7 linked regions of the Macaca mulatta genome follow. The protein of the gene in region 7 interacts with the protein of the main gene of each other region in a biochemical or structural test. Links are inferred from orthologs where the notes say so. Each region holds a gene or a part of one and is shown on either strand. Other genes may lie near its edges.

Region 1 (3,981 bases), on a different chromosome or scaffold from region 7:
CCGCCACGGGTTCCCCCCAGCCCCGCACCAAAAGTAGAGGCCCAGGGCTCTGCGGCCCGGCCTGAGGTGTGGGCTTCTCACTGCCTGGGTTCACACACCAGCCCCTGCCTGTCCCAGCCCACCGTCCTCTCCGGGAAGGAGGCCTGGACACCCAGCACGCAGCAGGGGTCCATAAAGACCAGGTGACATCCATCCCAGCCAATCACAGCTGCACAGTTACCATCATGGCTGCACAGGGCCACTCTGGGGCACGTGCCCACCACGGCCAGTGACGCGTGTCCACATACAACCTGTACACAAAGGCTCACGGTGGCCAAAACGTCCATCAGCGGATGAACAAACACAATGTGGCCCCGTCACACAGTGGGACATTACCCAGCCGTGAACAGGAGCCAAGCTCTGACCCAGGCCACAGCACCAGGCACCTTGAGGACGTCACGCTCCGTGAGAGACGCCAGACCCAGAAGGCCACACCGTGTGATCCCATTTCTAGAAAATGTCCGGGACAGGCCCATCCACGGAGACAGGAGGCGGATGTATGGGGGTTGGGGCTGGGGAGGGGACAGGGAGCGATGGCTGGTGGGGACAGGGCACCTTTCGGGGCTGATAGAATGTTCTGGAACTCGACAGAGATGGTTGCACAGCTTGGATGCTGAACACCCCTGAGTCGTGCCCTCTAGAGGGAAAGGCACGGCATGTGAACCGGGTCTCAAATTTCAAATTAGAAAAGAATCGGGTAAAGGGGACGAGGCCGGCGGCCCACGGCGGCAGCCACACACCTGGCTCAGGGCTCCCGGGAGACGACGCCGCGCAGGTGCAGCTCGCTCTCGGCGGCCACGATGGGCTGCCCGTTCTGCAGGTGGTGGTCGATCAGGTGGCTGATGCTCTCAAACAGCACGTCCTTCGTCCGCACCTGCAGGACAGACCTCGGTATCAGCTCCCGGGAGCCGGCCTGGACCCGTGGAGTCAGAGATCGGCGATCTGGGGTCCTGTCGGGGAGCCCCTAGGGTGCCTGCGTGGATGAGTGTCCGGACCAGGGAATTCTGGGACGCCAGCCACAGGATCGGCCTCAGAATCCCAGAACCACACGTGGGCACGGGCTCTGAAACCGCCGGGTTCTGGGGCCACGCGTCCTGTTGGGGGCTGAAGGGTGACCCCATGAGAGATTGGAGCCGTGTGTCCGCAAACCCGGCAGCACCCGGGAGGCGGCCACCAGCGGGCGCCGGGAGGGGCCTGGGACCGAGCAGCACCCAGGAGGTGACGTGTCCCCGGCTGCTCTGAGATCATGGGTGACGTGTCCCCGGCTGCTCTGAGTTCGTGGGTGAGGCTGGGGGCCCTGTGCACATTTCACGTGGGGAACAGGGGCAAATGCACATTCCTAGGCCTGCGGCAAAATTATCTCCTTCCATGGCACTGGGAATAGGAGCTGGGAATCTGCCTTTCGACAAGGTACTGGTAGACGTTCTGAAGCTTCCCCAGGTCTAGGGGCTGCCAGTCTGACCCCAGGGATCCATTTAACAGAGGGAATCTGGCCTGGGAAAGAGCAGAGGCATCACCCACCAGGCTAGAGGCTAGGCGGCGGCGGGGGGACCGGAAACAGTCTGAGGGGGCTCGGGAACTGGGAGAATAGGCGCCTCTCGCCCAAGCTCTGCCCCTCTCCAGCTTTGTCCCAGGCTGGGGTGCACAAGTGCCACCCCTGCCCCCCACAGTGTGCTTCACGCGGAGACCAGGCTCGCACCAGCCCAAGAGCCACTCTGAGGGTTCGGCCGGACGGCTGAAAATGCCTCCTGCAGTCTGAGAGGCCTCCGAACCCTCCAGCACCTCCTCACCTAAGAAATAACCTGTGTAGCCCTCAGACGCTCAAAATGCTTCATAAACCCTAGAACTCCTTGTAAATCGGAAAATGCTTTGTAAACCCTAAAACGCTTTAGAAGCTGGAGATTACTAAATCCCACTGGCCCAGAGCAACTGTAAGATGCACCACGATTTCAGGTACCAGGAGCAGACAGAGGAGAAAAACCTCGCTGTTAAATAATGATGCAGTTCAAGTATGCAATCGATGGTTTTAAAACAAAATCCAGCCGGGCGCGGTGGCTCACGCCTGTAATCCCAGCACTTTGGGAGGCCGAGGCGGGTGGATCACAAGGTCAGGAGATCGAGACCACGGTGAAACCCCGTCTCTACTAAAAATACAAAAAATTAGCCGGGCGCGGTGGCGGGCGCCTGTAGTCCCAGCTACTCAGGAGGCTGAGGCAGGAGAATGGCGTGAACCCAGGAGGCAGAGCTTGCAGTGAGCTGAGATCGCGCCACTGCACTCCAGCCTGGGCAACAGAGCGAGACTCCGTCTCAAAAAAAAAAAAAAAAAAAAAAAACAAAATCCAGACTCCAGAGACGTCAAAACTGGGGCGGGGAGAGTGTCTCTCAGCATTGAAGCAATTAGGCCAGGCGCGGTGGCTCATGCCTGTAATCCCAGCACTTTGGGAGGCCGAGGCGGGCGGATCACGAGGTCAGGAGTTCGAGACCAGCCTGGCCAACGTCGTGAAACCCCGTCTCTACTAAAAAAATACGAAAAATTAGCCAGGTGTGGTGGTGGGAGCCTTTAATCCCGGCTACTCAGGAGGCTGAGGCGGGAGAATCGCTTGAACCCTGGAGGCGGAGGTTGCAATGAGCTGAGATTGTGCCACTACACTCCAGCCAGGGCAACAGTGTGAGACTCCATCAAAAAAAAAAAAAGAGAGAGAAAGAAAGGGAGGGAAGAATTGAAGTAATTCAGTAACTTGATCCCAAAATTCCTTGTAAATTGAGAAGTGCTTTGTACACCCTCAAATAAATTAGAACCTGAAAATACCATATTTATCCCTCAAATACATCACCATTTGTAAGGTGCGTACGTCATGATATATGGGGGGGGCATCTTATGATGGATGAAATCGTACGATTGGGATTACGATTGGGAAAACAAGTCAGGAGGATCACGTGAGGCCAGTAGCTCGGGACCAGCCTGGGCAACACAGCAAGGCCCCATCTCTACACAGACTTAGCTGGGGACGGTGGCTCCCACCTGTAGTCCCGGCTACTCAGGAGGCTGAGCCAGGGGGACCGCCTGAGCCCAGGAGTTCGAGGCTGCAGAGAGCCATGATCCTGCCACTACACACAAGCCTGGGTGACAGAGCCAGACTCTGTCTCAAAAATACACTGGAAGATACTTTGCAATTCTATGGTAGCTGGTCAAACACAACATCTGCAACAATCTGGAAAAGCTTCATAAACACGGATGGCCCCTGGATGCCCCCGGGCCCGAGACCCTCCCACCTGGGCCCAGCTAAGCCCCTGGATGCCCCCAGACCCTCCCACCTGGGCCCAGCTAAGCCCCTGGATGCCCTCAGACCCTCCCACCTGGGCCCAGCTAAGCCCCTGGATGCCCCCAGACCCTCCCACCTGTGCCCAGCTTGCCACCCCCTCGGCCCCAAGACCCTCCCACCTGTGCCCAGCTTACCACACCCTCAGGCCCGAGACCCTCCCACCTGGGCCCAGCTAAGCCCCCGGATGCCCCCAGACCCTCCCACCTGTGCCCAGCTTGCCACCCCCTCGGCCCCCAGACCCTCCCACCTGTGCCCAGCTTACCACACCCTCAGGCCCGAGACCCTCCCACCTGGGCCCAGCTAAGCCCCCGGATGCCCCCAGACCCTCCCACCTGGGCCCAGCTTACCACGCCCTCGGGCCCGAGACCCTCCCACCTGGGCCCAGCTAAGCCCCCGGATGCCCCGAGACCCTCCCACCTGGGCCCAGCTTACCACACCCTCGGCCCCCAGACCCTCCCACCTGGGCCCAGCTAAGCCCCTGGATGCCTCCAGACCCTCCCACCTGGGCCCAGCTAAGCCCCTGGATGCCTCCAGACCCTCCCACCTGGGCCCAGCTAAGCCCCTGGATGCCCCCAGACCCTCCCACCTGTGCCCAGCTTACCACGCCCTCGGGCCCGAG
Region 2 (3,981 bases), on a different chromosome or scaffold from region 7:
AACACTTTGGGAGGCCAAGGTGAGTATATTACCTGAGGCCAGGAGTTCAAGACCAGCCTGGCCAACATGGTCTGACCCCATCTCTACTACAAATACAAAAATAGCCAGGTGTGGTGCTGCATGCCTGTAATCCTAGCTACTTGGGTGGGTGAAGCATGAAAATCACTTGAACCTGGGAGGCGGGGGTCGCAGTAAGCTGAAATCACACCACTGCACTCCAGCCTGGGCAACAGAGCGATACCCTGTCTCAAAAAAATAACAATTAAGTCTTTAATTTTGGACTTCTCAAATTTAAAGAATATTGTGTAAACTTTACTTGAAAATATTGTCATAATTATACACAGTAGGTCTATGAGCCTGAAACATAACCTTGGCAAAAATGCCCTAAAACACCCTCTTGCATCAGTTTACAATTTCCTGCTGTGTTTGCTTAACAATTATACTTGTTTGAATTTATAGAACAGTTTTAATTTACATCTCACACATAACTGTGCTAGCATATAATTCTTTTCTATTCCTCCCAATCACCATTAATGCCAACAAAAACTGAATCTGTAGTTCTTAAATATTATGTCATATCATAACCAAGAGAAATTTTATCTGCCCCCCAAAAAAAGAAATAGAAGACCCTTGACAAAATTTAGGTTGGAGGCAGGATTAACACACATTTTCAAAACAAACTGTAATAATGGTGTTAATGGTTGTCTGATTATTTTAAATATAGCATGACATGACTATGTATATTCTAAATAACAAATTATATTATTAGAAAACTGCTGTATTCCATGATGCTTTTGCATTAAATTTCCATTTGCCTGGAATTAGTTGGGGTATTGGTTGGAGTATGCTTAACAAAAGCAAAAGCCTACAAATAAGACTTAAGGATATCAGATTGGGTCTTAGAAAGTTACCTTTAGTTGTGCCTTAGCCACCAGCTTTCTATATAACCTTAGTTCAACAACTTAACCTCTCCAGACAGATCTGCTTCTTCATTGGAAAGTAAGTTAGAATAATGATAATTAAGTAACCTTATATAAGCTCCCAAATTCCATGATTTGCCAAAGCAGTTCTTCCTATAGAATAATGATAATGAAGTCCCTTTATATAAGCTCCCAAATTCCATGGTTTGCCAAAACAGTTCTTCCTAATTATGGTACAATGAGCAGACTGAAACACAGCTTCAGCACCACATGTTCTGGTTCCAGATTAGCTCAGAGTCACAGATTGTAATAAACCAATTAATATCTAAATCAGTCAATTACTGCTCTTCTCTTTTAGTGCCAATCAATGTGTGTGTGTATGTATGAAGAATATTATATGAAGTTAGCTACAGATTTTGTTTGTATAACTTTTAACCTCATCCTGTAAGGGTTTAAAAATCCCCAATACTTGACTATAAATGAATGTTCATGTTTTTAGAAAATGCAAACGGTAGCTAAATCTCATAGTAACTTTAAGTTTAGGAGCCATTTGGACTTAGAAAATATGCAATAGGGCTTTGACATAAAAGTCAAAGAAAAACGTTGAATTGTATATTGTTATTCTTCAATCTTTCACAATTATCCATCTATCAGTTTGTGATTTAACAAATGAATTGATGAGCCTTACCTAACAACTCTTGTTCTCATGGTGGTATTTGTAGGCCACTTATGCTGAACAGATTTCTGTAAACACCCATAAATATATCTCAGTGTCCTGCCAAAATAACACAATCATCTCAACACAGAAAGCAAGTGAAACTACTGATCTCCTAGCAGCCGAAAGCTTAATTTACCCAAATATACCACAGTTTAATAAAACTGGCCTTTTCCCCAAAAAAAGTATTTTGCCACAGGTAATGAGACATTTAGAAGGGGTAAGGAAAATTTTATCGACTAAGTTTATCATCATCAATTTATTCAGTCAACTTCCTGACATTTACTTTCAGATACAGAGAACTAACCAGCTGCAAACTCTGGGGAGAAAGATTTAGACTTAGGTTAACTTCTACCTAAACAAGTGAGTTCACTAATACTGGAGGCCTAAAAGCATATTAACAGAGTGATTAATCTATCAAGTATAGACTAAATGGATAGACAAGATATCTTTTACAATCTCAAATCTGAAACTATAAACCTCTATTCACTCCCCAAGCTATACAAACCAGACATATTGGCTTGTACAAAAACAATGGGTGGTTTTATTAAGACAGTTATTTTCTTTAAATATAATTCATCTTATAAAGATTAACCATGACTTTTTCAGAGTATAATAATATTAGGACAACAGAAAAGCTTTCACATGTTTTAGAAATAGAAACTTCTCAAGACATAGATACACAATTTCTTGTCAAATGAAAATTTCACCACTTACGGTGGAAGTATTTCTGAAGCCATGAATATTTTCTCCACAAGCTCTGAAAGTATGTTCAATAGGTGTGCTAAATTAGTGTTCACATCTTCATTTTTTTCTAACTTTGATGGACTTAACTAAAAGAAGGAATAAATCAATAGAAATGCATTGTTGGCAATGACAAATGCAAATGAATTGAGGAAAACAAGTAGTTGTAGTTTTCAAGGTTCTCTATCTTTCAGTATCGCTGTGTGTACTGATCTTTTTTCTTTGTATAAATGGGAGTTTTTAAGTAGTTTGCTCTATGGAACTCCTGGTAGGTTTGTTACCATTTATTCCCAATTACCCAACTGAAAAGCAAACAGTGGTTAGTCAATTCTATTTGAGGGTAAAAAAAGCTGATTAAAAGCCCTTTCTGAATGAGGCTTATTTAATGGCTAATAAAAATATCAAATGTCTTAGGCAGAATCACAAACCTTTCTCAGAACTTCTCCTGTAACCCTTCTGATCTAGTGTCAGCAGAGTACATTTATCTATGGAAGTCCGAATTCCACAGCCTATATCTAAAGTCCAGAGACTCCCTACCTACCTGCTGCACTTCTGTGTCATCCTTATGCTGGGCCAACTATGGCATTACTCCAGATTTCCAAAATTAAATCACTAATTTCTTCCCTTCAGGTTATTAGTACGAATTGACACCTTCGTGCAGGATTAACATTTGCTAGGTCCCAGTGTCCACTGTCGAAAACAATTCCTTAAACTGATTTTTGTATCAGATCTAAAATATGTATTTCTTTGTAGCTGCTTTACCATTAAAATGAGAGAATATATGTGTGAGATTCCACTTACTGTCTTAATAGTTTATTATGAATTTATACTGAAGGTTCAATAATCCTAAAAAGATGTTTTTGTTTTAGTCAAGGTTATCTCATAATTCTCCTCTTGCAAAAAAACCTTCAAGGACAAACCTAGATGTAATGAAGTGCTACACAGGTCATATGATAAGTCACTAACAAAACCTTCAATGTATGTTATGCATGCTTTCTATAAGTAGTATATAGATTACTAGTGCAGTAGAGGAAATGATAAAAGTATTTTCATGAATTTCTGGTGCAACTTGATGGTTTTTAATCCCAAAATAAAGTACATCTTTTTAAAAAAGTCCATTTTGCAGAACATTTTTATAAATGTATTAGAGACAGGTATAACTGCTATGAGGAATAATTTTAGAAATTTAATATTTTCCTTAAAATGTAATTGGCTACAAATTATTACCTACTAAAACATTAAATTCTTACCTCACAAGACTGCTTGCTTTCCATTATCTTTAAAATAGAGTCTTTCAAAGCATGATGAACAAACTGTGTAGCAGTGGCTTTCATATACTGCTCCATCAAGGTGCTTGCAAGTGTTGTGGCTCGAAATAGGGTAGTGGCTTCATCTACACAAATATTTACATTAGAAGATTATTTGTAAAGGACTGACCTAATGTGACCAAATTGGAAGTTAAGTGAATTCATTTTACCTCAAAAGGAATAACCACTTAAACGTACTTTTTGCATGCAGCATTGAAGTACTAATTACAGTGACATCCTATACTTCTACAGACTTAACTCTGTAAGACTTTCATATGTATTACCTCATTAGATC
Region 3 (4,589 bases), on a different chromosome or scaffold from region 7:
GGTAACACTAGCCAAGTGCTTCTGTGTCATTACCGTAATCACCACTAGTCTACAAACCGCGATGGTGAGATGCAAAACCAAGATGCAGCACCACACAGGCAATGGATGTGGCATATGGGACTCAGGCCCCATATGCCTCAAGCCCCAGTCTCACGCTCAGACAAGAGTAGCATTCAAACACTTAACAAACACATCTCTCTATTGCAATGCAGCAGCTGGTACATACTTTTCACTCATACTGCAGTTATTTGTGTATACGCCTTCTCTCCTGTGCTAGATTGCAATTTCCTAGATGCAGGACACCAGGCTCTTTCCCCTTTGTCCTCTTAGGGCCCTGCCCAGCGCCTGGCAGACAGTGGACCATGGACCCTCAATTAATATTTGTTGACCAAATGAATTAGCCACAGTCTGTGGGCCAAGGAAAGATACTGTGACCTTTTATTCCTTACAAACACCTTTATTCCAACCAGGGAGAAAGAGGCACTGTTTTCTGCAGCTTTCTTGCCCACTGGTCCACAGCTAGAAAACTTAAAGAGGGAAACAGCAGAAGCGCTGCTGCGAGGGCTCAGCCATTTGAATTGCTGGATCCCTGAGGAGTTCATTTAAGATAGTGTAATAACATCTGCTCACGCTTCATCTGTACATAACATCTCTATTGTGAAATGAGACCAGACGGGATTAGACTGCCCTTGTTTTCACCTGATACTGTGCTTCATTTCTCCCAAAGGGGGAGAGGAGGCAGCAATGCTGAAGTATTTAGCAGGCTCAGTTCAGGAATCTAAATTGCACTTAATTGTTAGGAACAAAATGTTGGAAGGGTAGAAAGCAGGCTGCTGGTTCCACAAGGACTCCCTGAGGGGGACACAGTAATTAGTGCTGGTCTTGATTGTGAGGTCTCTTTTCAGAAAGAAAAATCTCTGCAAAATTGAACAGGGAGGTGCTCCACATGAATGCTCCACTCTGCCGAAATGCAAAACCGCAGGGACCTCTCGGCTAGGTTCTCCCGGCTAAAGGTCGCCTGGCAAAATGGTTACACACGCAAAAGTGCAAAGCTGCATCAGCACAATCCCTGCTATGTTTTCCTTTCAGGAAATATTCAGCTCCACCGTAGTAAAAGGATTTAGGTGGGCATTCAGGCACCTGGGAAACCTTCAGAGGCATTCTAGAGAGGCAGGCACTGATGAAAAACACATTCCCAGCCCAACTTTACTCTGATATTAAACAGCCAGGAACACTTCCGGGCCTCGGGGATATTTCCCAGCCCACAGGGAGCCAGTATCTGGGGCAAGAGGGACACCCTCCAGATCCAGCACATATTGTTCCCACACTTCCAGGCAGCAGCGTTTGACCACTAAACTTTAAGAGGGAACGCAGTACACCTCAAGTAACTAGCTGAAATTTTAACAGTTTTTCACTCCACAGAGCCTTACAAAAGTTTCAGAAAAACAAATGCAATAAATTCCTGATTGTTAGACTTAGGGAAAGGGCGCTGAACCTAGCGGGAGCCAACCAGGACGGGTCTGTTTAATTCAAACACCGTGAAGGGCCGTCCTGTGGACCGCAGAGCGCCGCTGGAACCATGCGGTCCCCAGGGAACCTGTAAGGATTCCTACATCCCAGCGCATCCCCCACATTATTGAAGAGCTAAAATGTCCTTTACCTTTGCAAGAAACACGCGAGAGACAGCAGGTCTGCGTAATGGCCAGAATCCCAATTCCATTGCAGGGAAAGGAAACCAAGAAGCCTTTTCAAGAGGCTGTTGGGTTGGAAAGAGCTAAGCCTGGACCCTCTTCCACGCTTACCAGAAGCCGCTCCCACTAGGCAAAGCTCCACTGGCCCTCTCGCTCCTTGTCCTGCGCGCACACACACAAGGGTACACACGTACCCACAAGGGTACACACGCACCCACCAGGATTCTGGCACGGACCAGCGTACACATGCCTGTACACACAGACGCGCGCTCACAAGCACGCACGCGTGGACGTGCAGACGGGGGTGCACAAACACACACCGACATACGCGCACTGACAAGGGCACACGCATATACATGAGCACAGGGGGGTACACACCGGCACAGCGTCCACGGGCACCAGCGCACACCCGGCGCAGCCCACGTGCGTGCAGCCCTGAAGGCGCCCGTGCCTCGCGCCCCCGGCCCCGCACCCCAGCTCCGGGCCGCACTCACCTGGCGCCGGCGCCGGCGCGCCCGGGTTCCGCGCGCTAACCCTCCCGGTGGCCCGGGGGTCAGGGCGCGCAGCCGCATGGCCGCCCCTGCCGCCCGCTGGGAGCCCGACCCGGCCAGGCGAGGACCCCTCCCCAGTGGCGGTCGGGGCAGAGGATGCCTCCCGAGTTCCCTGCGGACACAAGTCCCAGCAAATGGCCAACACGGGAGGAGCGAAGGGCTCTCCGTGGCCGCCGGCCCAGGTCCCAGCCGCGCGCCGCCGCCTCTACGGCCACTTCTGTCCGTCAGAAGTCAGACGCCGGGAACAAAAGGCAGGCGCGAGAGCACGGTCCCGCACGGCGTCCCTCCATCTGACACGAATTAGCCCTCCCTCCCCCGCCCGCCCCAACCGCAACTCCGAGCGAGCGCGGAGGCACAGGCTGAGCCGCCAAACACTGAAAAGTGGGTGAAGAAACGCCTTCCAGGCGGAGGGAGCAGGGTATTGCAGCCGCCATCTGACTGGAATTACGGACGCGCGGAGCTTGGTGCAGGGTTCAGCTTTACTAGGATTTCAAACCTCTCCGAGAACGCTGGCGAGGGGCTTAAAAGAATCAAAACCGGGCACGCTCTTCGACTTTCGGAATTTCTAAATCTTAACTATTATCCAGTCAACTCTGCATCTGTAATGAGCAGTAATCTGCACTACCCTGGTAATCTACACTGGCAAACAGGGCATTTGGAGTGGAAAACAGGGAAACACCGAGGCAGAAAGGCTTTTTTTCTAATTTGCCTTTTCAACTAGGAAAAACTAGGAGCCTGGCCTTGCAAAGGACACGCCTAACCAGGTGAGGATTTCAAGCAAAGCTCAAAGCACAGGACCGCCCGGGGCCTTGCACACCTGGGGGCTGGGCTGCACCTCCCTGCCCCCTCCCTATCTCCCAGCCCATCCCTCCCCCGCACCGCCCTCCCCAACCCCCCCGCCGTCCTGCTCCTGGCAAATCAGGAAAATTCACAGCAGATCTCGAGTCCCGTCTTCCTTTATGGGTCTGCGATTTTAGAAGGAAATTAGAAACCCGAGGTTCAGGAGGTGAAGATGACAGGGTGATGGAAGAAGATGGACAAGCCAGGATCCTGAAGGAAGGGTCACTTAGAAACGCAGGAGGAGAGGTGGGCAAGATCCACAGGCAGATCCCTCCTTTCAACGCCTGTCGGACTTCACCAGCCTTCCCGGGGCAGTGGATCTTGGCTGTCTACAAGAAGCTTTGTGGCAAGACTGAAAATAAAAGATCATGTTCAAGATGAAGCCACTGCCTGTGGTCTGTGGGGGGCAGGGGAAGAGATCCCTGCCTCAGAGTAGGATAGGGGGCCTTCTAGCCTCAGGCCGGCTAACCCTGTACTCCTACTACCGGCCTTCACTCCAGGCCCAGCCTAGGGGTAGTGTCCCAGAGCTCAGCCTTTGTGCCTCCAACACTCCAACTTCGGATCTACAACTCCACGTGCAACTCCACATGCCTTGGATGTGGGGAGCAGTATGGGTGGGCTTAGTCGTGGCCTTTATGGCTGACATATGTGCAAATTCCAGCCATCAATTCAACTGGCCGACGTTAACCTCTCAAGTTCTGGCACTAAATATCCATCTTTCCGTTTCTGCAGTAGAAGAGCAAAGCTGCTCTTCAACTTTCAACTACAAAGGAAAAAACCTCCTCCTAGAACACACCATTCTGGGTTCCAATTCCTCACTAAATCATCACCTGGCAGACAAGCAGGCATTCTCATTTCCCCCTGTCCTTCAAATGACATCATTACTCACCTTTTTCTATATTCATTCCTTCCTTCATTTTCCTGTATTCATTCATCATTTTTTTCCTATAGCGTATCCAAACTTTAGTTTTTTCAAATGTCTTTCCCTGAGAACACATCTGTATCATATTCATTCCAGATTCCTTCACATCTGACACAATACCAGGTACATAGAAGTGTCTACAAACAGCTAAGAACAGGACATGCTGCTGTCGTGGTTTACCCAAGACAAACACGCCCAGAGGTCAGCTGGATCTACCACCGCCCTTACCACGGTGCCCACGGGAACCGGCCGAAGAAATCTGAATTCAGCAATGAACAGATAGCTCCCAGCAGGATAAAACTCCTCCAACCTGAGTACCAGGATTCACACTCTCTGGGGTCCACCCAGGAACAATGGTCAGGAGCACAGGCCAGCCCACTGCCCATGCAAGCCAGAGTGGAAGGCAAATAGTTGAAGGTGGCTTTTTATTACAGGGATACCCTGAATCTGCTCTTATTTAAAAGGGTAGCCATTCAGAAAACTCCCATACTTCATTACTAGTAACAAATAACATGCATGTGATAAACCTCCCGAGTGAGGACAACAAACTGATTTTTCACTGGCAAGAAACTGCTCAATCCTAAG
Region 4 (3,981 bases), on a different chromosome or scaffold from region 7:
GTCAAAAAGAGCTAATTTTAGTTTCATTTATTCACCTCACTTCTGCCCACCCTGTACTAACAATGAGCAAGTTTGGCTTATTTTACAGCATTTGTTGACGATAGTGAATGAACTGTGTCCCAGGAGCAATGCTGGGCTCTGAGGGTGTAGTTATGCTCAGGAAAGAACTACTCCTGTTCTTGTGCTGCTTATGTTGTGCTGGGTAGACAGCGTAGGCTGAAATAATCATCGCACTACCTTCCACTTGCATAGCACTGTGTGCAGTTTTCAGAGTTCTTTCATACACACTACCTTATGTGAAAATCGAACATAGGAATTTAGTTAGACATGCCTGGCTACTTCTTTTGCTGCTGGTATTTATTGTTAGAGCAGCCATCTCACCATTCACACATGCCTTGCACTGAGAAGTGTGCTCTGAAGGGGATGAAACCAAGTGTGGTCTCAAGCACTCATTCGAGAGCCTCGTTCCACAGGGAAACAAGTGAAGGTTAAGGGGAGGTGGAGCTCCTAGCCTGGGGCAAGTCACACAAGAGGCACCCAATACCCATAAGCTTTCTCTTTTAAAAATTTGCCTGATGCAAAGATTTTGAAATAAATCTTTGGTGGATCGGGCTCCTGTTTTGCATAAAATCAAAGCTTTGTAGCTTATCTTTCCCTTTGGTATTGGCAGATTTTTATTCCGAATTTGTTAAAGAGGCTGGCTGAAGTTCCAGAGAAAGTACATGGCATGTGATATTCATGGCCTCCTGCAGCATGCAAAAATGAAGTCATTCCAACTAGCTAGACAAAGGGTGTGCTTGACTCCTTGGCACATAGCACAACTCCCAGCTGTCTTGGGAAAGCAGACTCATCAGAAAGGCATGCCAAAATTTGGGCTGTGCTTTTCAATGCTTGTTATGATGGCTCTTGTTATATTACCAGCCAGCTAGTTTTTTCCAGTGGTTTTTGTTTTCCCCTTCTGGAGGAGTTGCCTTTGCATTTCCATCTCTCTCACTGTATTTTTTTTTTTAATCATTTGCTCTTCTTGAGATTGACTTGTTGCTGGTCAATGTTGTTGATGACAGAACCTTTTGAAGATGCTCTCAAGAACCAGCCCTTGGGGCCCGTGTTAAGCAAGGCAGCCTCCGTGGAGTGCATCAGCCCTGTGTCACCCAGAGCCCCGGATGCCAAGATGCTGGAGGACCTGCAAGCTGAGACTTGGTACCAAGGAGAGATGAGCAGGAAGGAGGCAGAGGGGCTGCTGGAGAAAGACGGAGACTTCCTGGTCAGGAAGAGCACCACCAACCCGGGCTCCTTTGTCCTCACGGGCATGCACAATGGCCAGGCCAAGCACCTGCTGCTCGTGGACCCGGAAGGCACGGTGAGCACCCAGTGGGGATGGGGTCGGACCTGCTGATGGGCGCAGACCTGCCTTAAACAGTCTCCACTTTGTCAAATGACCTCCACGTTCCCACCTCTATCCACAAGTGCCTACCGAGTCCTTCAGGGGAACCCAGGGACAGACAACTCCTGTCATCAGGCCAGAGCCAGGAGCCAGGAGCCAGTGGTCAGGGTCCCACACAAGTTTTAAAACTTTTAGAATTATGGCCTAGGCTGAAAGCCTTGACTTTTATGTCCTTTAAAGTAAATAAATACAGAAACTGAGAGCATTTTCCTTACAAACATGTTTCTAGTGGACAAGGAAGTACAGGCGTCTAGGCTTTTAATATTTACCTTGAATGCTTCTGTCAAAAAGTTGAATCACTGAGGATTTTGTTCTAAGGCTGTAAAATGTGATGATCAGTAAATGAAACCCCCTTTGCTAAGTCTCTAGTTTTCCCGTTTAGAGAAGTAACTCCTAGTGATGTTGGCCATCCCTGGCACTATAGCTGTATCTGAATAATCCTGTAGGTTTCCCTGAATTTTTCATCTTCCTGTCAAGAAACACATTCGACTTTACCTGGGGCATAGTCCAAGAATTGCTAAGCTTCATAAATGTAGTTAAATCAACCTAACTGTTGAGTGAAATTCCAGGATTGTTTAAAACCTTTTATCCAGTGAAAACAACGAAGCAGGGTAGAGTTATTTAATAGGAGTTAAAAACATTGCATTTTCTGATTGACAGGGAGGGATGAAGCTTTTGTCTTCAGCTGGACTGGAACACAATTAAACTGCATGAGTCGGGGGTGGGGGTGTTATCCAAAATGGTTTATTACCTCAGGTGCCAAGACTCAGTTGCCTGAACACCCCAGCTCCTGGCACTCTGAACAGTTCCTCTTTCTGTTTCTTTGGAAGCAGCCACTTCCCACTTCCAGCCAGTAGCTACTTCCTCTTTCCCTTCCACGGAGACAGCCCCTTCCTCATGAATGTAACGTATATATGTATATCCTTCCAGTCCATCTTCTTTTTTAACATACACATACTTCTGAGAAAACATTTTGTGTTTGTGCCTTTTAGAAATTTGCAAATTAGCCAGGCGTGGTGGCGACTGCCTGTAGTCCACTCAGGAGACAGAGGTGGGAGGATTGCTTGAGCCCAGTAGGTCAAGGCTGCCCTGAATTGTGATCGCAACACTGCACTCCAGCCTGGGTGATGGAGCAAGACCCTGTTTCAAAAAAAAAAGAAAAAAGAAAAAAGTTTGCAAACATGATATTGTTCCACAAATCCCATTTTGTTTCTTCCTTTTCCACCACCGTACATGTTGTTGAGATGTGCCCATGGTGGTTTCTGTTTATCAGATCATTACTGTGGTGGGCTGCCTGGGGCCGGTCACATGTGCAGTCCACACGTCACTTACTGAGCTCTCTTGAGAAGGTTGACTAAGCTGCTACAAACTCTCATGCATGTTTTTCTCTGTACCTGGGCACGGTATCTCTGGGACAGGAGCCAAGAGTGGCGTTTTGGTCACAGGGTACACATACATTGAATTTCACTGGGGCTTGGATTTGCTTTCAGAATGGCTGAGCTACGGAGGCGCACACCAGCAACATCCTTGCTCTTCCTTGAGAGAGTCTCTAGGTTTGCTAGTTTGTGGGAGTAAGGAGAAAGGGAATATCTCATTGTTTGATTTGTAATTCTTTGGTTGCACTTCATTAGTAAATTAGCAGATTCTTCCTGTAAAGTTAATGTTCTTATCTTTTCTCCATGTTTTTCTTTTGACTTTCTGATTGGGCTTTCTTGTTGAAGTTTTCGGCAACAGAATTTTCATATGTATTCTCTTGCTTTTGTCATCCATCTGATAATTTTGTCTGTGATAGTCTTCATCAAATAGAAGTCTTTCATGGGATGCATCTGAATCTGTCAGTTTTCCCATTTGTGCTTGATGGTTTTGACTTTTAAAGTTTTTCTCCCCCACAAATCACAAATATACTGGATTTGAATATATATTTTCTTTCATTAGCTTTATAGTTTCATCTTTCACATGTGGGCTTTAATTCCAACTGAAGGTACTTTTGAATTTGAAATGAGATAGAGACACCATATATACACATATATACATACATTTTTTGTTTGTTTGTTTACTTGTTTGTTTGTTTTTGTATTTTTAGTAGAGACAGGTTTTTCCATGTTGGCCAGTCTGGTCTTGAACGCCTGACCTCAGGTGATCAACCTGCCTTAGCCTCTCAAAGTGCTGGGAGGTGTGAGCCACCACGCCTGGCCGAGGTTCAACATGTTTTTAAATCTCCAGAGGGTAAGCCAGTTTTTCTGTCACCATTTGCTAAATCATTCATCTCTTCTCTGCTGTCCTGATGTTCCTTTGAAAACATACTAAGTTCTTTGCACCATGGTCTGTTTCTGGATGCTGGATTCTATTCTACTGATCTGTTTAGTCCTTGTATAAGTACCATGCTGTTTCCATCCTTATGGCTTTGGAACTCTCTTAGCATCTGGTGGTGTGAGTCCTTCCTCTTGATTCTCCTTTTTCTAAAACGTTCTACTGAGCTGCAGATATATATTCTTCTTTACACTGATTTTAGAATCAGTTTTTCAAGTCACCAACAA
Region 5 (4,454 bases), on a different chromosome or scaffold from region 7:
AGTCAGTGGCCTGGCCAAGCAGAAGGGCCCCACCCTTCAACAGCTCTGAAGATTCTGCTCCTAAACATCTGGTCAAACCAGAAATTCATAGGCAGTGATGAATGTGAATAATCAAGGTTACCTGGAGAAAGACAGAACATCCATTTGTGCAAAGAAGAGGCACAGGAGGGAAGAAATCCATCCATGGTTTCCACCTCTGCCATTGCCACTCTTCCTTCTCCTCCTCCTCCTCTGTCTCCTCTTCCTCTGCTTCTTCCTCCTCCTCCTCCTCCTCTTCCTCCACCTCCTTTCCCTTTTCTGTCTTCTCCTCTTTCCCCACTGTCTTCAGTCAGATCTTGGGTCTACAACAGGAGAGGTAACTGAGAGCCCTTTACTTTGTCGTGCTGTGTATTCTTCTGACCCAGGAGAAGACTGGTTCCCTTGATAAATGTTGGAAATGTGTACTTTATTCCACAAGAGTGAGCAGGGCATTCTCGATGGCTGCAAAAAAGTATGTCCAGGAACAAAAAGTTCCTCCCATTTTCTTCCTCCCTGACCCTAGACTGCAGGCTGCTCTTTAAACAACAGATAAATCAGCATGTTTCAGATTAGGCAGAAGGAAATGTCAAGTCTTCCAGGAGGGAAGTAGAGTTCTCTGAATACGTTCAGCCCCTACAGGTATGGTTCCCTCCTCCCAACCTCACCCCACCTGTCTGAGCTTGAGATGGCCTCGTGTCTGGCGTGTCACTGGCTGTGATGAGCAAGCGGTGGACAGGACAGGAAGAGGCAAATGCAAGGAGGGGAGTGGCATTCTGCTTTTAGGACTTCAGAATGGCCTGATGTAGGAATTGCACTCTTGTGAAACTGTTAGATTTGTTCTCATCTGACTTTTGGGTACATCCTGGTTTGTTTGAAAGCATCTGGCTATCGGCAAGGTAACTCCTGACTCTACCAGGCAATAAGGAGGCTGCACATCTTACGACAGAGTTCATCTCCCCTTTCCTGGGTCACCCATCCCTACCCGCAGATGAACAGAGAATTGCCCATCCCATTTTAAATAGAGCTCCAGAAAAAGAGAGACTCTAATTCTCCGAGTAAACTGTTACCACCATGTCACTGCCACCCTGATATTTATTTTTAAACATATTGCTCGCATCAGGGGCGGGGAGGGAAAAGCACAAAAATGCCATTTTTATATAATGGTTCTATAAGTAGAAAAAGCTTATCCATGACTTTATGCAAATAAGCAGAAAGTCTCCAAGAGAGGTTCAGATGGACTTGATTACTCTGCTTTTCCTTGAGCCCAGGAAGTTCCCAGTTATAGCATGCACCTGCTGGAAACAGACTAGATGTGTTTGGGACAAACAGGAAGTAGTGACCAGCCAGAAACTTGTCCCAACCTTGTTACAAATCTGATTGTAAAAGAAAGCAGCTGGAAAGAAATTTGCATGCCCAGTAGGTTTCACTATTAAAGTTTACAGAACGTGGAGTAATCATCAAGCTGGCTGGCTATCCAGATCACATGATTATGTAGAAACATGAAACTTGACTATGTGCTCGGGCAAGTTTTACTTCTCCCTAGAGCAGGGGTGTTTGCCAGCAGCCTGCACTCTCAGAAGTCAGACTTGAGTGGCCGGAACCCTTGAGACCAGAGGCTTACCATGCTGCTCCTTAGGAGGGCCAGGAACTGCTGACGTGACCACTGGACACTTATTCGTGTCTCTTACAATTACCAAACAGAATGGACAAGCTTAATAAAATAACCGTCCCCGCCAGTCAGAAGTTGAGGTAAGATTTTCCCCACCCAATACTTACCCTTCTTCATCTCCTTTTTTTTCCCCCAATGCTCTTATGGCATCTCAGAAATACTGAAATCCTGGAATGCTTTGCTAGTTTCCAGTGGGTGGCACTTACTATAGGGAAGTGGACTGAGCTTTTAGGGAAAGCATTGGGTGGCACTTGCTATAGGGAAGTGGACTGAGTTCTTAAAGAAATGTGTAGGAACAAGAGAGACTTGCTTTAGCTACCTCTTACAATAAAGTATGAAGCTCTGGAAAGATAATAAAACAGAAATACCAAGGGCTTAGATTCTACTGAAGGTCAACGTTCAGAGTCTGAGTGCAACCAACTTTTCTAAGGAAGGGTTTCTCTAAACTGAGTCCTCACCCATTTTATTGCAGGTTACTATTTAATTTTAAGGATAGCTGTAATCATTTGTTATTCATTGTTTTATTGTCTCATTTATTTTGTGGGTGTATATTACAAGTGTGTTTGGGGGGATTAGATCTGTCATTCCAATACCCTCATGTCAACGTAACAATGATCTATAACAAGCCTCTTAAAAAGGAATAAACCAGAAGCGGCCCCACGGGCATGAGTCAAGGAGCTATGGAAAAGACAACTTCCCCAAATTTTGCTTTTGAAGGTCGTCTTTTTGTCTCATTGTAATGGCATCATGGCTTTCAGAGACTGGAACTTTTAAAGTTCAGGGAGTGGGTTTTTTTCCCACATTTTTTAACAGTTTTTAAAAAATTATTATTATACTTTTAAGTTCTGGGGTACATGTGCAGAAGGTGCAGGTTTATTACATAGGTATACATGTCCCATGGTGGTTTGCTGCACCCATCAACCCGTCATCTACATTCAGTATTTCTCCTAATGCTCTCCCTCCCCTGGCCCCCAACTCCCTGACAGGCCCCGGTGTGTGATGTTCCCCTCCATTCAGGGAGTGTTTTCTATTCTGACTACATATCGGAACTGAGCCAAATGTTCAGGGGGTGATGTGACACGTGTAGCAGACAAGTAATCCCAGATAACAAGGAGCCAGAGAATTGAAGCTTTTGAGACAATATTTAAGAGAAAGTCTGGAATTGGCAGAGGGACAGCCCTTCACACTAGAATACAGGTCTTATGCCTAGGAGGTGCTTGGTAAAAGGTAATGTGATATGCACCAATGATCTGGGATCAGTAGGCAGTATCAACTGCATTCAACCATTTCAAGAACATGCTGTTGAGTTCTGCTGTGTGATCAGCACTGACGGGACAGGAAGGCACCTCATTCTTGCCCTTGGTCTCAAATAGCTACACCCTCATAAGGGGCAGGGATGATACAATAGAAGCTGTAAGTGACTGAAGGAATGTAAGAAGAGAATTAGAGTAGCAGGAGGAGGTTTCATAGAGAAGATAATTTAAGAGGTAGGCTTTGAGAGGTGGGTAAAATTATAAAATACTGGAGAATTGGAGGAAACATGTATGTGCTGGGAGGGAGGAAATACAGAGGCTGTCACTCAAAGCTTAACACACATACGGTCCATTTGTGGGATGGTGAGGAAAGTTTTCTGTCTAGCGGAAACTATAGAGTAGGGCATGTAGGACCTGAAGGTCCTGGTATAATTGGACACATAGGGCGGGTCCAGGTTGCAAAGGGTGGTGAGGGCCCTAACCATAGGGAGTGTTGGAGAACAGGTTATGCTGTTAGTGATGTCATGACAGCAGGCTTAAAGGAGTCTGGTAGGATGTGTTGGAGTGAGAGGGACACTGGAGGCAGGGATCTGTTGGGAGGGAGGAGCGCTTAAGTAACCCAAGCATCCAGGGCTGTAGGCCTGGACTTGGGGCACAGCAGTGAGAAGGAAGAGGGAAAGAGAGGGAAGAAAGACGTGGCAAAGAAACTAATGAATGAACAGGAGGATTCCAAATGTTTTTTTCAGACATATATCATAATGTAGAACTATACAGAGACGTATTCTCTTTCAGGGAATCCAGATGGGAATTTAAGTAAAGGTGCTAGAACTTAAATCATTTTATGATTCCTCCCTTTGGGACAAAGTCCAGCTTGATCACAGAGCAGCTGATGGGCAATATACAACCATAGATTATGGAATAGAAAACCAAAATTATACCACGGATAATCATATACTACACTCATCTGCTTACATAAAAGTAACTTTTTTCCCACTTGATCACTCAGTTGTCTTTATAGAATCATCACGTTGTGATAAAATGTACCCTGCTGACGTGGAACTTTTCAAAGAAATGAAATTGTAAATTAAATGGGCTCGAAGCACCATCTTAACTCTTTTCCATAATTAGATAGCTGGGATGCTGAGCAGTTAATAGATGAAATACTTGCCTCCTGTGATTTGTGTCCTCTATCCTGACTGGTTGACATCAATTCTGGAGGTTGATTAACAACATAATTATTTGGCACCAGACGACAGCAAAAGTGGACAGTTATGTTTATACTCTTAGGCTTAGGTGAGAATTTGCTCAAATTCTTAGCCACAAAAATAGAAAGACAGTGAGTGTTCATCCAGGGAACTGAAAGGAATGACCTTGATCCAGGGAGTATATTCCCAGGACTGAAAAGAAAGTAGAGAAGAAGGAATTACTAGAAGGTGAGGGGAAGCAGAGTCATCCAAGGAAAGGAGGTCATGCAGGATTGGAAGGAGACAAGGAATTCTCAAAATGAAGGAGAA
Region 6 (4,696 bases), on a different chromosome or scaffold from region 7:
TTATCTTTATAATGTGGAAATAGCAGAAATCCTTTTCAGATGTAACCAGGATTTAAGAAAATTTGACAAACTTGCATCAATAAGAAGAAAGCCTGTTATTAAAGAGTTACACGGCCGGGTGCGGTGGCTCACGCCTGTAATCCCAGCACTTTGGGAGGTCGAGGCAGGCGGATCATCTGAAGTCACGAGTTCAAGACCAGCCTGGCTGACATGGTGAAACCCTGTCTCTACTAAAAATAATTAGCCAGGCATGGTGGCAGGTACCTGTAATCCCAGCTACTCGGGTGGCTGAGGCAGGAGAATCACTTGTACCCGGGAGGCAGAGGTTGCAGTGAGCCAAGATCGTGCCATTGCATTCCAGCCTGGGCACGAAGAGTGAAACTCCATCTCAAAAGAAAAAAAAAAAAGGAGTTATGGGCAGAAAATTACCTCCTTTAACTCATTCGACAAATGTTTACTGAGCATTTTCTATCACCATGACACTCTGCTGATTCTTTTCTATTTCAATAAAAATATTGAGCAATTATAACCAAGGAAAAGGTTTTAAGAAAGTAAATTTTAAGCAAGGTTTAGATATAAAGAAGTCAAGAGATGGAAAAGGATGCCATTTCACATTGCAGAAAAAGTTTAAATTTTAGAACCCAAACTGAGTCTCTCCTTGACACTGCCCTCTTGGTATTCCAGGGATTAATGCTAGGAACATTCTGGTGAGCCAACATTTCCCTCCTCATCTTGGATCCAGTTCCCAAACTCTGAATGGCACCACTTAGCAAGTAGCAATGTCTCTAATTTTCTGTAAAAGATGCAACGTTGGCAATCCATTTTCTAGCAAGAGCAAAGAGAAAGGAAGAGGCCTTCACAAGTTGCATTTGATATAGGGGGAAGGGTGAGTGGTACATTTAAAGGTAAGAACTAAGGAAGTTGAAGGTAACAAAATATAAGGTCAATGGAAAGTCTTAAATCCCGAAAAGCCTTCAGTCCAAGACTCAACACAAATTGAAGTCCCAGAAATCGAAGGAACTGGTTCCAACTCATGCTGAACTGTGGCAAACCTGGGGTGAGAAGTCATCCCAGCTCAGAATGTTTCTTCTTTTTTTGTCAAGAGTAATATTACAGACTGAGCGCATGAACAAAGCATCTTCCCTGGGATTTTAACATTGTGAGTGATCAAGGGTGCTCTTAAATAAGTTCCCCCAAGAAGCCCTAATGTTCCTTGGGCTGCATGACTGTACTAAGAGAATAAGAGTTTTCCTTAAGATCGACTTGCTGATGGACCATATCTAGGACTAGAAATTTTCTTATGTGAACATAAGTGTTCAGGAGGGATATTGTTAAAACTGAAACCTAGCATAAAGAAGCAAAAGTATTTCAGTGAACCTCCTGCATTTTAGTTCAACACTGGCAGCAAGAAAACAAAACCACATAATCTAAGGCTCACGCCCAACTCTCTGAAGCCCCGTATGTGCTAGTTCCTGTGTGGTTTGCCTGCAGGCTGCAGGGCTGACTAGGGTTAGTTTGGAGGAGGGAGTAAGAGGTGGGGAGGAGGAGGCACAGTTAATGGATCTGTAAACTTGCACCCTCTTTCAGAGTGGTACATGGAAGACAGCACAAAGTGGATCCGTACTCTGAAATGCAGTAATTCTGATGCTTGAATTTGTCTTCCTTCTTGCCAGAAAGGATTCTAATAACTCGGCATCAAAGCCAAGACATAAATTCAACAAACCACTTCTCTTCCAAAAGGTATGTCATTATACAATATCTGTACATATATTTTGTATGAGTTAATTAAAATGAATCTCATTAGTTCTCTGAATACTGCTTTTAAGTCCCATCAGCTAATGTCTCTAAACCTTTTGCCGTGACAATGTTTGTGGTGATGGGATTTGACTTCTATCAAGTGAACTGGGAGAACGCTTGTTCCTTACCCAGTCCATAACACAAAAATCTCCACAAACTGGCTTCAGAAGCATCTCGGGGAAAGATTTTCGACCTTGGGATCACAGAGGTAAAAATTCTACTTCACCATGGTCAGGATTTAATCCAAATTGGAAGGGGTTGGAGGGGGTGGTAGAGGGCTGAGCAGTGATGAATGAACACCAGCACTCTGAGATCAGGATTTCTCCCTTTGCTTGAATTTCTAGTTCTGTTTGCATTTTTCTTACCTATACAAAGAACACCAGTTTTCATTCCTTTACAAAAAAGAAGACTTTGTGTTGAAGTGTATTTTGGAAGGGTATTGTCTCTCTTTGTACTAGCCGTTAGGCTCCATCCCTGTGACTGTCTCTGGTTTAGGCATCCAGTCTGAAGTTAGCTGCTTTGTGTTCTTTGTCCTAACTCTTCCTGAACATGAGGATTGAACATACCAACCAACGGTTTCACTAATTTAAAATGTATCGTATTGCGCTGACAGGTATACTGTCAAAAAAAATTACCGTATTTACCTACCTGGAATTAGGCCTTCTTAATAAGGTATATGCAACATAATTTGCACACTATTGAACATATACATCCCTAGATAAACTAGGAGAGGGAAATGTTTTAGATCTAAACATCCAATAGGAAAAATTTCGTGTGCTCTCGTTACGTTATCCGAGGATGGGAAACTTCAGGTCGAAGAATCTTTTGTTCTGTGCAGCAACGTTTGTCATTAACGGTTTAGTTCTTTAGTGGGTCCTTTTTGTTTCTTATTTTTGGTTTCAGAAAGAGCATTTAGCAGAAGTTACTCTCCTTTAACAATCCAGTATTGTATATAAAACTTTATAAAATAATTTTATAGTGACCCTCTTTACAAAACCATCTGCTATTAAATAAGGAACACTGTGTAAATAGAGGACCACCTAAGTATATTTACTTTTCAAATTTGAAAAATATCTGACTCATACCCTTTTTTGTTTTTTTGTAAAAGAGAGGTGGCCCTATATTATTGAATAAAACTGCTTTTTTAGATTAAACTTGGAGTGTCTCCCATGTGGTAAACTGAAATCTTATTCTCCCCAAATTGTAATAGATTTTATCTTTTTAAAAAATGACTTTACTGAAGCAGAGGAGAAAGAGATGATCAATCTATTCAATATGAAGAAATATTTCTGTTGCTAATACAATATCCTTTTGAATATCTCCGACGTCTTAGGCCTGGTGAAAATCCCTTTCAATTGTTCTGTCTACCTCGTAGGGATATTGTAAGAATAAATGAGTTAACATAGATATGAAATACCTTAGGAAAAATGCACTATAAAAATGCAAGACAATGTCATCATTAGTTATTTCTTTGACTCTTGATCATTTTCTTCCAACTTCTTATACAAAATGTCTCTTACTTATTTCCTGAAGCCATCTCTTTTAGAACTATTGCTTTCTAGAAGAGCTGAAAATGATCCTAGTTCCAACATATTTATTGATTCCCAGATAATAACACCCACTGGTGTTGATGACTGACAGGGTTCATGCCTAAACTTGAGTAGAACTTGCCCTTTTTTCCTGGATCAAGAAAAGTCTGCAGTCGTTCGAAAAATGTGTCAGTAAGTGTGATTCCATCAGGATTTCTTAAATAAGTAACAGTTGCTGCTGGATAATCCTGGGGGCAGATTATTCATTTTTGTGCCCCTATAAAACAAACTCAAAACTTGTTCAAGAATCTTTATAAGTTGTTTGAATCAAACAATAGGGTCGATAGGTCCCCATTTTGTCCTTTTGAGGTATTTGCCCAGCGTACCTTGGTCTGTAAAGAAATAGCACAGCCTTGGCTGGGTGCGGTGGCTCATGCTTATAATCCTAGCACTTTGGGAGGCCGAGGTGGGCGGATCTCCAAAAATAAATAATAATAATGATGATAACACAGTCTCATGAGTCTTTTTTTTTTTTTTTTTTTTTTTTGAGACAGGGTCTCACTCTGTCACTCAGGCTAGAGTGCAGTGGTGCAATCATAGCTCACTGCAGACTCAACTACCTTGGGCTTAGTGATCCTCCCACCTCAGCCTCTCAAGTAGCTGGGACTACAGGTGCACACCACCACACCTGGCTAATATTGTATTTTTAGTAGAGACAGAGTTTTGCCATGTTGCGCCGGCTGGTCTTGAACTCCTGAACTCAAGCAATTTGCCTGCCTCAGCCTCCCAAAGTGTTGGGATTACAGGTGTGAACCACCGCACCTGGCCTGCCCTTTCTTTTCCACTTAAAAATTCTTAAGAAAGCATGGCCCTGTTTAACAGATAAGCATTTTACAAACATTTATCGATCAATTACTATATGCCAGGCCTGGCGCTAGGCACCAAGTCCTCTTCAACAGTGTTAACGTTAAGTTTCAATAAACTTGAGTCAGTAGGAATTCAGTAAATAATTTTTAAAGATTTTCTTTTTAAATATGCATTTATAAACAACACTTTTAGAGAATTAAACTATCACAAAGTACATGATGATAAAAGTCTTACATGCTCTCCAAAGAAAATGTTAAGACGTTCCTTAAGAAGACAGTGAAGAACGGCTGGGCACAGTGGCTCACACCTGTAATCCCAGCCCTTGGGAGGCCAAGGCAGGCAGATCGTCTGAGGTCAGGAATTGGAGACAAGCCTGGCCAATACACTGAAACCCTGTCTCTACCAAAATACAAAAATTAGCCGGGCATGATGGCAGGTGCCTATAATCCCAGCTACTTGAGAGACTGAGGCACGAGAATTGCTTGCACCTGGGAGGCAGACGT
Region 7 (3,981 bases):
TCAGTGCTCCTTCTACCAACCCACAAGGAGACTCCTTCTCCAGCCAAGGAACCCGCATGCCCCTCTCCCCTGCAGCCCCTTGTGGTGGGTAGGAAGCAGGGAGGGCACCCAGAAAGGCAAGTAAGGGAGCTCAACTATTCCCTCCATAGAAGAATCTCAGGGTAAACTGATACGACTTCTCCAGAGAACGGTTTGGCAACACCTACGAAATATTATCTATGATGCAGCAAATTCTCCTCTGAATACAGACCGTACATATTGCTTGCAAATGCTTTTGTCACTTAACAGAATCTTGCAGTGTTTTTCCATGTTCTAATACCGTGATCTGGATCTAGGATCCATATGGATCTGGACCCATATTCTCTTTTTTTTTTCTTTTCTTTTTTTTCTCGAGATGGAGTTTCGCTCTGTTGCCCAGGTTGGAGTGCACTGGTGCAATCTCGGCTCACCGCAACCTCCGCCGCCCAGGTTCAAGCAATTCTCCTGTCTCAGCTTCTCAAATAGCTGGGATTACAGGTGCCCACCACCACGCCCGGCTAATTTTTGTATTTTTAGTAGAGACGGGGTTTTGCCATGTTGGCCAGGCTGGTCTTGAACTCCTGACCTCTGGTGATCTGCCTGCCTCGGCCTCCCAAAGTGCTGGGATTACAGGCGTGAGCCACTGCACCCAGCCCGGACCCATATTCTTTTAATTTTTCTCATTTAGTTGTCTTTAAATTGAAACGCATGAATACATCCTTGTGATAAACATTGCCAGCACTATATACCCTAAAAATGCCAATGTGTGGACACTAGGGGGCATACAGAAGAATGCTCACTTGTGTATGGAGCTCAATTGCAATAAACTGCGAAAACAGGGAAACAAGCTCAATATCCCTCAAAAACAAAGTGAAATTACATCCATGTTATAGGTTGAATAATTAAAAAAGAATAAAGATGGTAGATCTGTCTGTACTCACAAGAAAGGATACCTCAAGTCGGAGGGAAAGTAAACTGCAGAATAGTATGAAGAGAATGATCCCATTTACATTACAAAATGTACACGCACACAAATCTGATGACAAGTGGAACTATATGAAATTGCTGTTTCTTGACCTTTTTTTTTTTTTTTTTTGAGACAAGAGTCTTGTTCTGTCATCCAGGCTGGAGTGCAGTGGCACAATCTAGGCTCATTGAAACCTCCGCCTCACGGGTTTTCTCCTACCTCAGCCTCCCGAGTAGCTGGGATTTCAGGTGTGCATCACCATACCCGGCTAATTTTTGTATTTTTAGTAGAGACAGGGTGTCGCTACGTTGGCCAGATTGATCTCGAACTCCTGATCTCAAGTGATCCGCCTGCCTCAGACTCCCAAAGTGCTGGAATTACAGGTGTGAGTCACCGCGTGCCCATTTTTGGTTTACACAAACAGCAATCTTATTTGACTCAACCTAATATAAATGTAGTGTGTCTATATAAGTGTGCAGAAAAGAGCCCAGAAGGATGAACACACAAGTCAATGCGGTGGTTCTCCCAGCCCACAGGAGAGGCTGGGTGGACAGGGAGTTGAGTGGTTTTGTAACATTTATACTTTTATGTTACTGAAAATGTTTATCACAAGGATGTATTCATGTGTTTCATGTGTAAAGACAACTAAATAAGAAAAATTAAAAGAATAAGGTAGATCACCATGTTAGAACATGGAAAAACATTTCAAGGTCCTGGAAAGTGAGAAAAAGCAATTTGCAAAAACAATATGAACTATGATTCTATTTGGTAAAAAGAAATATATGACTGGGCATGGTGGCTCACCCCTGTAATCCCAACACTTTGGGAGGCCGAGGCTGGCAGATCACCTGAGGTCAGCGGTTCAAGACCAGCCTGGCCAACATGGTGAAACCCCATCTACTGAAAATACAAAAATTAACTAGGCAAGGTAGCATGTTCCTGTAATCCCAGCTACTCAGGAGGCCAAGGCAGGAGAATTGCTTGAACCCAGGAGGTAGAGGCTGCAGTGAGCCAAGATTGCACCACTGCACTCCAGCCTGGGTGACAGAGTGAGACTCCATCTAAATATATATATATATATGTGTGTGTGTGTGTGTGTGTGTGTTAGAACGTGCACAGATAAAAATAACTGGAGAATAATATTAATGTATGTTAACTTATATATACATATTAGAATGTGCACAGACAAAAATAACTAGAGGAAAAATATTTCAAATTATTAACAGTGGGGATAGAACTGCTAGGGCATTAATTTATATTTCATGTTTTAATTTTACCATTTTAACAATGTGTTATTTTTATTTTTATTTTTTTTGAGATGGAGTCTCGTTCTGTTGCCTAGGCTGGAGTGCAGTGGCGCAGTCTCAGCTCCCTACAAGCTCCGCTTCCTGAGTTCATGCCATTCTCCTGCCTCAGCCTGCCGAGTAGCTGGGATTACAGGCGCCCACCACCACACCCGGCTAATTTTTTATATTATTTAGTAGAGACGGGGTTTCACCGTGTTAGCCAGGCTGGTCTCAAACTCCTGACCTCAGGTCATCTGTCCGCCTCGGCCTCCCACAGTGCTGGGATTATGGGCGTGAGCCACCGTGCCCGGCCCCAACGATGTGTTATTTTTGCCATCAGAAATAAGATATGATAAAGGGAGAGTTGGTCCCCTTTTATAGTAAGAGCCCCAGAGAGACCCCTGAAAGGAAAGTCCTCCTTTCTGCAGAAAAGACCCTCAGACTCACGAGTGGGTGCAGTTGATGGGGCAAGGCTGGCACGTGCCCTCCTCATCTGGAAACTTCCAGATGGGCATGTAGGAGAGGTCAGGTTTCACACCGCTGGGGCAGCGGGCCACGCAGAAGGGAGGGTCCTTATAGTGGGCACAGGCCACACACTGGTCAGCCTCCTGGGAGGGGCAGAAAAGGTTTGTAGGGGGCTAGCACTGACACCCCCAGGGCAGTAGGATCAGGCCCTTAGTTGGGTCCCCTTTGTGCTTCCCAAGGCCACCCAGCAGCAATTTTCACCATGCTCCTGGGACAAACACCTCTGCTCTTCACCCAGTCTCTGTGGACCCTCCCTCGGGGCCCTCCTCCAAGCTTGATCCTGGGCGGGGACTTGAGCCAGAGAATGGGAGGCACCCAGAGAAGAAAACGCATTACCTAAGGTGTAACAGCGAGTAACAACAGTCACTGCTGCATAGAAAGCCTTTCCCGGGCTTCACTGTGCCAAGCCCTGTTTAATTTCATTCTCACCACACCCCAGCAAGGTAGGTACTATTACAATACCCATTTTAGGAATAAAACACCAAGGTTGGAAGCAGGACCTGGGTCTGAATCCAGGTAGTCTGACGCCTGAGCCCGCAGGGCTAACCACCCTAGCACAGCCACAGCCACAGCCGCAAACGCAGACCTCCTTAGAACCTTTTCATAGTCTGAAGGGCCCCAGGGTCCCCCGGGCCCCCTTTCCTGCCACTCTGCTGCTGTTCGGGTCTGAGTGCTGAGCCCTCTCCAGGGATATTTTACCAGACGGCACACCCTGCCGTGTCTCGCCATCCTGCCAAGTCCCTGGCAATCCCCCTCGCTGCACCCCTCCACCCAGCTCTGAGCCCGCCAGCAGCTCACCGGTCCAAAACATGTCACTGAGCCATTCTGGGGCTGACACTCAGGGTGGCACGGCAAACAGTGTCTGGCATTCACATACTCCCTGGGGAGCCTGAGAGAAAGGACAGTGGTGAGCGGGTCTGAGAGGAGCCCCATGCACCCCTCCAGCCACCCCTCTCCTCTGCCCCTCATACCCCTGCAGTACTCGGCATTCCTCCACGCACTCCTGGCCCCGAAGGAACTGGCTGCAGTTGACACACTGGGTGGGCCCTGGACCCCAGCAGTGCCCTCGGGCGCACAGCTGGTGGCAGGCCAGGCCCTCGCCCACTGCAGTGAGGAGGAAGGGACCGCAGGGGACTTTTAGGGGAGGCCCCAGGTCCAAGTGAACCAGGGAACTGGCTGTGGGCA

Evidence for each region.
Region 1: the proteins of ERBB2 (region 7) and SHC2 form a complex in vitro, tested with the Homo sapiens proteins (2 studies listed by BioGRID and IntAct, with this or other methods). The link is inferred for Macaca mulatta from reciprocal best matches to the Homo sapiens genes ERBB2 and SHC2.
Region 2: the proteins of ERBB2 (region 7) and RASA1 form a complex in vitro, tested with the Homo sapiens proteins (2 studies listed by BioGRID and IntAct, with this or other methods). The link is inferred for Macaca mulatta from reciprocal best matches to the Homo sapiens genes ERBB2 and RASA1.
Region 3: the proteins of ERBB2 (region 7) and TNS3 form a complex in vitro, tested with the Homo sapiens proteins (2 studies listed by BioGRID and IntAct, with this or other methods). The link is inferred for Macaca mulatta from reciprocal best matches to the Homo sapiens genes ERBB2 and TNS3.
Region 4: the proteins of ERBB2 (region 7) and SHC3 form a complex in vitro, tested with the Homo sapiens proteins (2 studies listed by BioGRID and IntAct, with this or other methods). The link is inferred for Macaca mulatta from reciprocal best matches to the Homo sapiens genes ERBB2 and SHC3.
Region 5: the proteins of ERBB2 (region 7) and BLNK form a complex in vitro, tested with the Homo sapiens proteins (2 studies listed by BioGRID and IntAct, with this or other methods). The link is inferred for Macaca mulatta from reciprocal best matches to the Homo sapiens genes ERBB2 and BLNK.
Region 6: the proteins of ERBB2 (region 7) and GRAP2 form a complex in vitro, tested with the Homo sapiens proteins (2 studies listed by BioGRID and IntAct, with this or other methods). The link is inferred for Macaca mulatta from reciprocal best matches to the Homo sapiens genes ERBB2 and GRAP2.

The regions. Positions count from the first base shown.
Region 1 is NC_133424.1:1,068,246-1,072,226, forward strand, and holds part of SHC2 (SHC-transforming protein 2), read right to left. Parts: intron 914-3,981; coding exon 785-913; 3' UTR 780-784; intron 1-779. UniProt on the Homo sapiens protein: Signaling adapter that couples activated growth factor receptors to signaling pathway in neurons. Involved in the signal transduction pathways of neurotrophin-activated Trk receptors in cortical neurons.
Region 2 is NC_133411.1:93,755,129-93,759,109, reverse strand, and holds part of RASA1 (ras GTPase-activating protein 1), read right to left. Parts: intron 3,773-3,981; coding exon 3,630-3,772; intron 2,469-3,629; coding exon 2,353-2,468; intron 1,696-2,352; coding exon 1,609-1,695; intron 1-1,608. UniProt on the Homo sapiens protein: Inhibitory regulator of the Ras-cyclic AMP pathway. Stimulates the GTPase of normal but not oncogenic Ras p21; this stimulation may be further increased in the presence of NCK1.
Region 3 is NC_133408.1:81,066,108-81,070,696, reverse strand, and holds the start of TNS3 (tensin-3), read right to left. Parts: upstream 3,169-4,589; 5' UTR 2,264-3,168; coding exon 2,186-2,263; intron 1,919-2,185; exon of another isoform or gene 1,721-1,918; coding exon of another isoform or gene 1,661-1,720; intron 1-1,660. UniProt on the Homo sapiens protein: May act as a protein phosphatase and/or a lipid phosphatase. Involved in the dissociation of the integrin-tensin-actin complex. EGF activates TNS4 and down-regulates TNS3 which results in capping the tail of ITGB1.
Region 4 is NC_133420.1:119,710,322-119,714,302, reverse strand, and holds part of SHC3 (SHC-transforming protein 3), read left to right. Parts: intron 1-1,064; coding exon 1,065-1,360; intron 1,361-3,981. UniProt on the Homo sapiens protein: Signaling adapter that couples activated growth factor receptors to signaling pathway in neurons. Involved in the signal transduction pathways of neurotrophin-activated Trk receptors in cortical neurons.
Region 5 is NC_133414.1:108,279,870-108,284,323, reverse strand, and holds the start of BLNK (B-cell linker protein), read left to right. Parts: upstream 1-1,549; 5' UTR 1,550-1,720; coding exon 1,721-1,767; intron 1,768-4,454. UniProt on the Homo sapiens protein: Functions as a central linker protein, downstream of the B-cell receptor (BCR), bridging the SYK kinase to a multitude of signaling pathways and regulating biological outcomes of B-cell function and development.
Region 6 is NC_133415.1:11,633,471-11,638,166, reverse strand, and holds the start of GRAP2 (GRB2-related adapter protein 2), read left to right. Parts: upstream 1-1,493; 5' UTR 1,494-1,740; intron 1,741-4,696. UniProt on the Homo sapiens protein: Interacts with SLP-76 to regulate NF-AT activation. Binds to tyrosine-phosphorylated shc.
Region 7 is NC_133421.1:64,070,177-64,074,157, reverse strand, and holds part of ERBB2 (receptor tyrosine-protein kinase erbB-2), read right to left. Parts: intron 3,931-3,981; coding exon of another isoform or gene 3,901-3,930; coding exon 3,768-3,900; intron 3,686-3,767; coding exon 3,595-3,685; intron 3,133-3,594; coding exon of another isoform or gene 3,031-3,132; intron 2,880-3,030; coding exon 2,719-2,879; intron 1-2,718. UniProt on the Homo sapiens protein: Protein tyrosine kinase that is part of several cell surface receptor complexes, but that apparently needs a coreceptor for ligand binding. Essential component of a neuregulin-receptor complex, although neuregulins do not interact with it alone.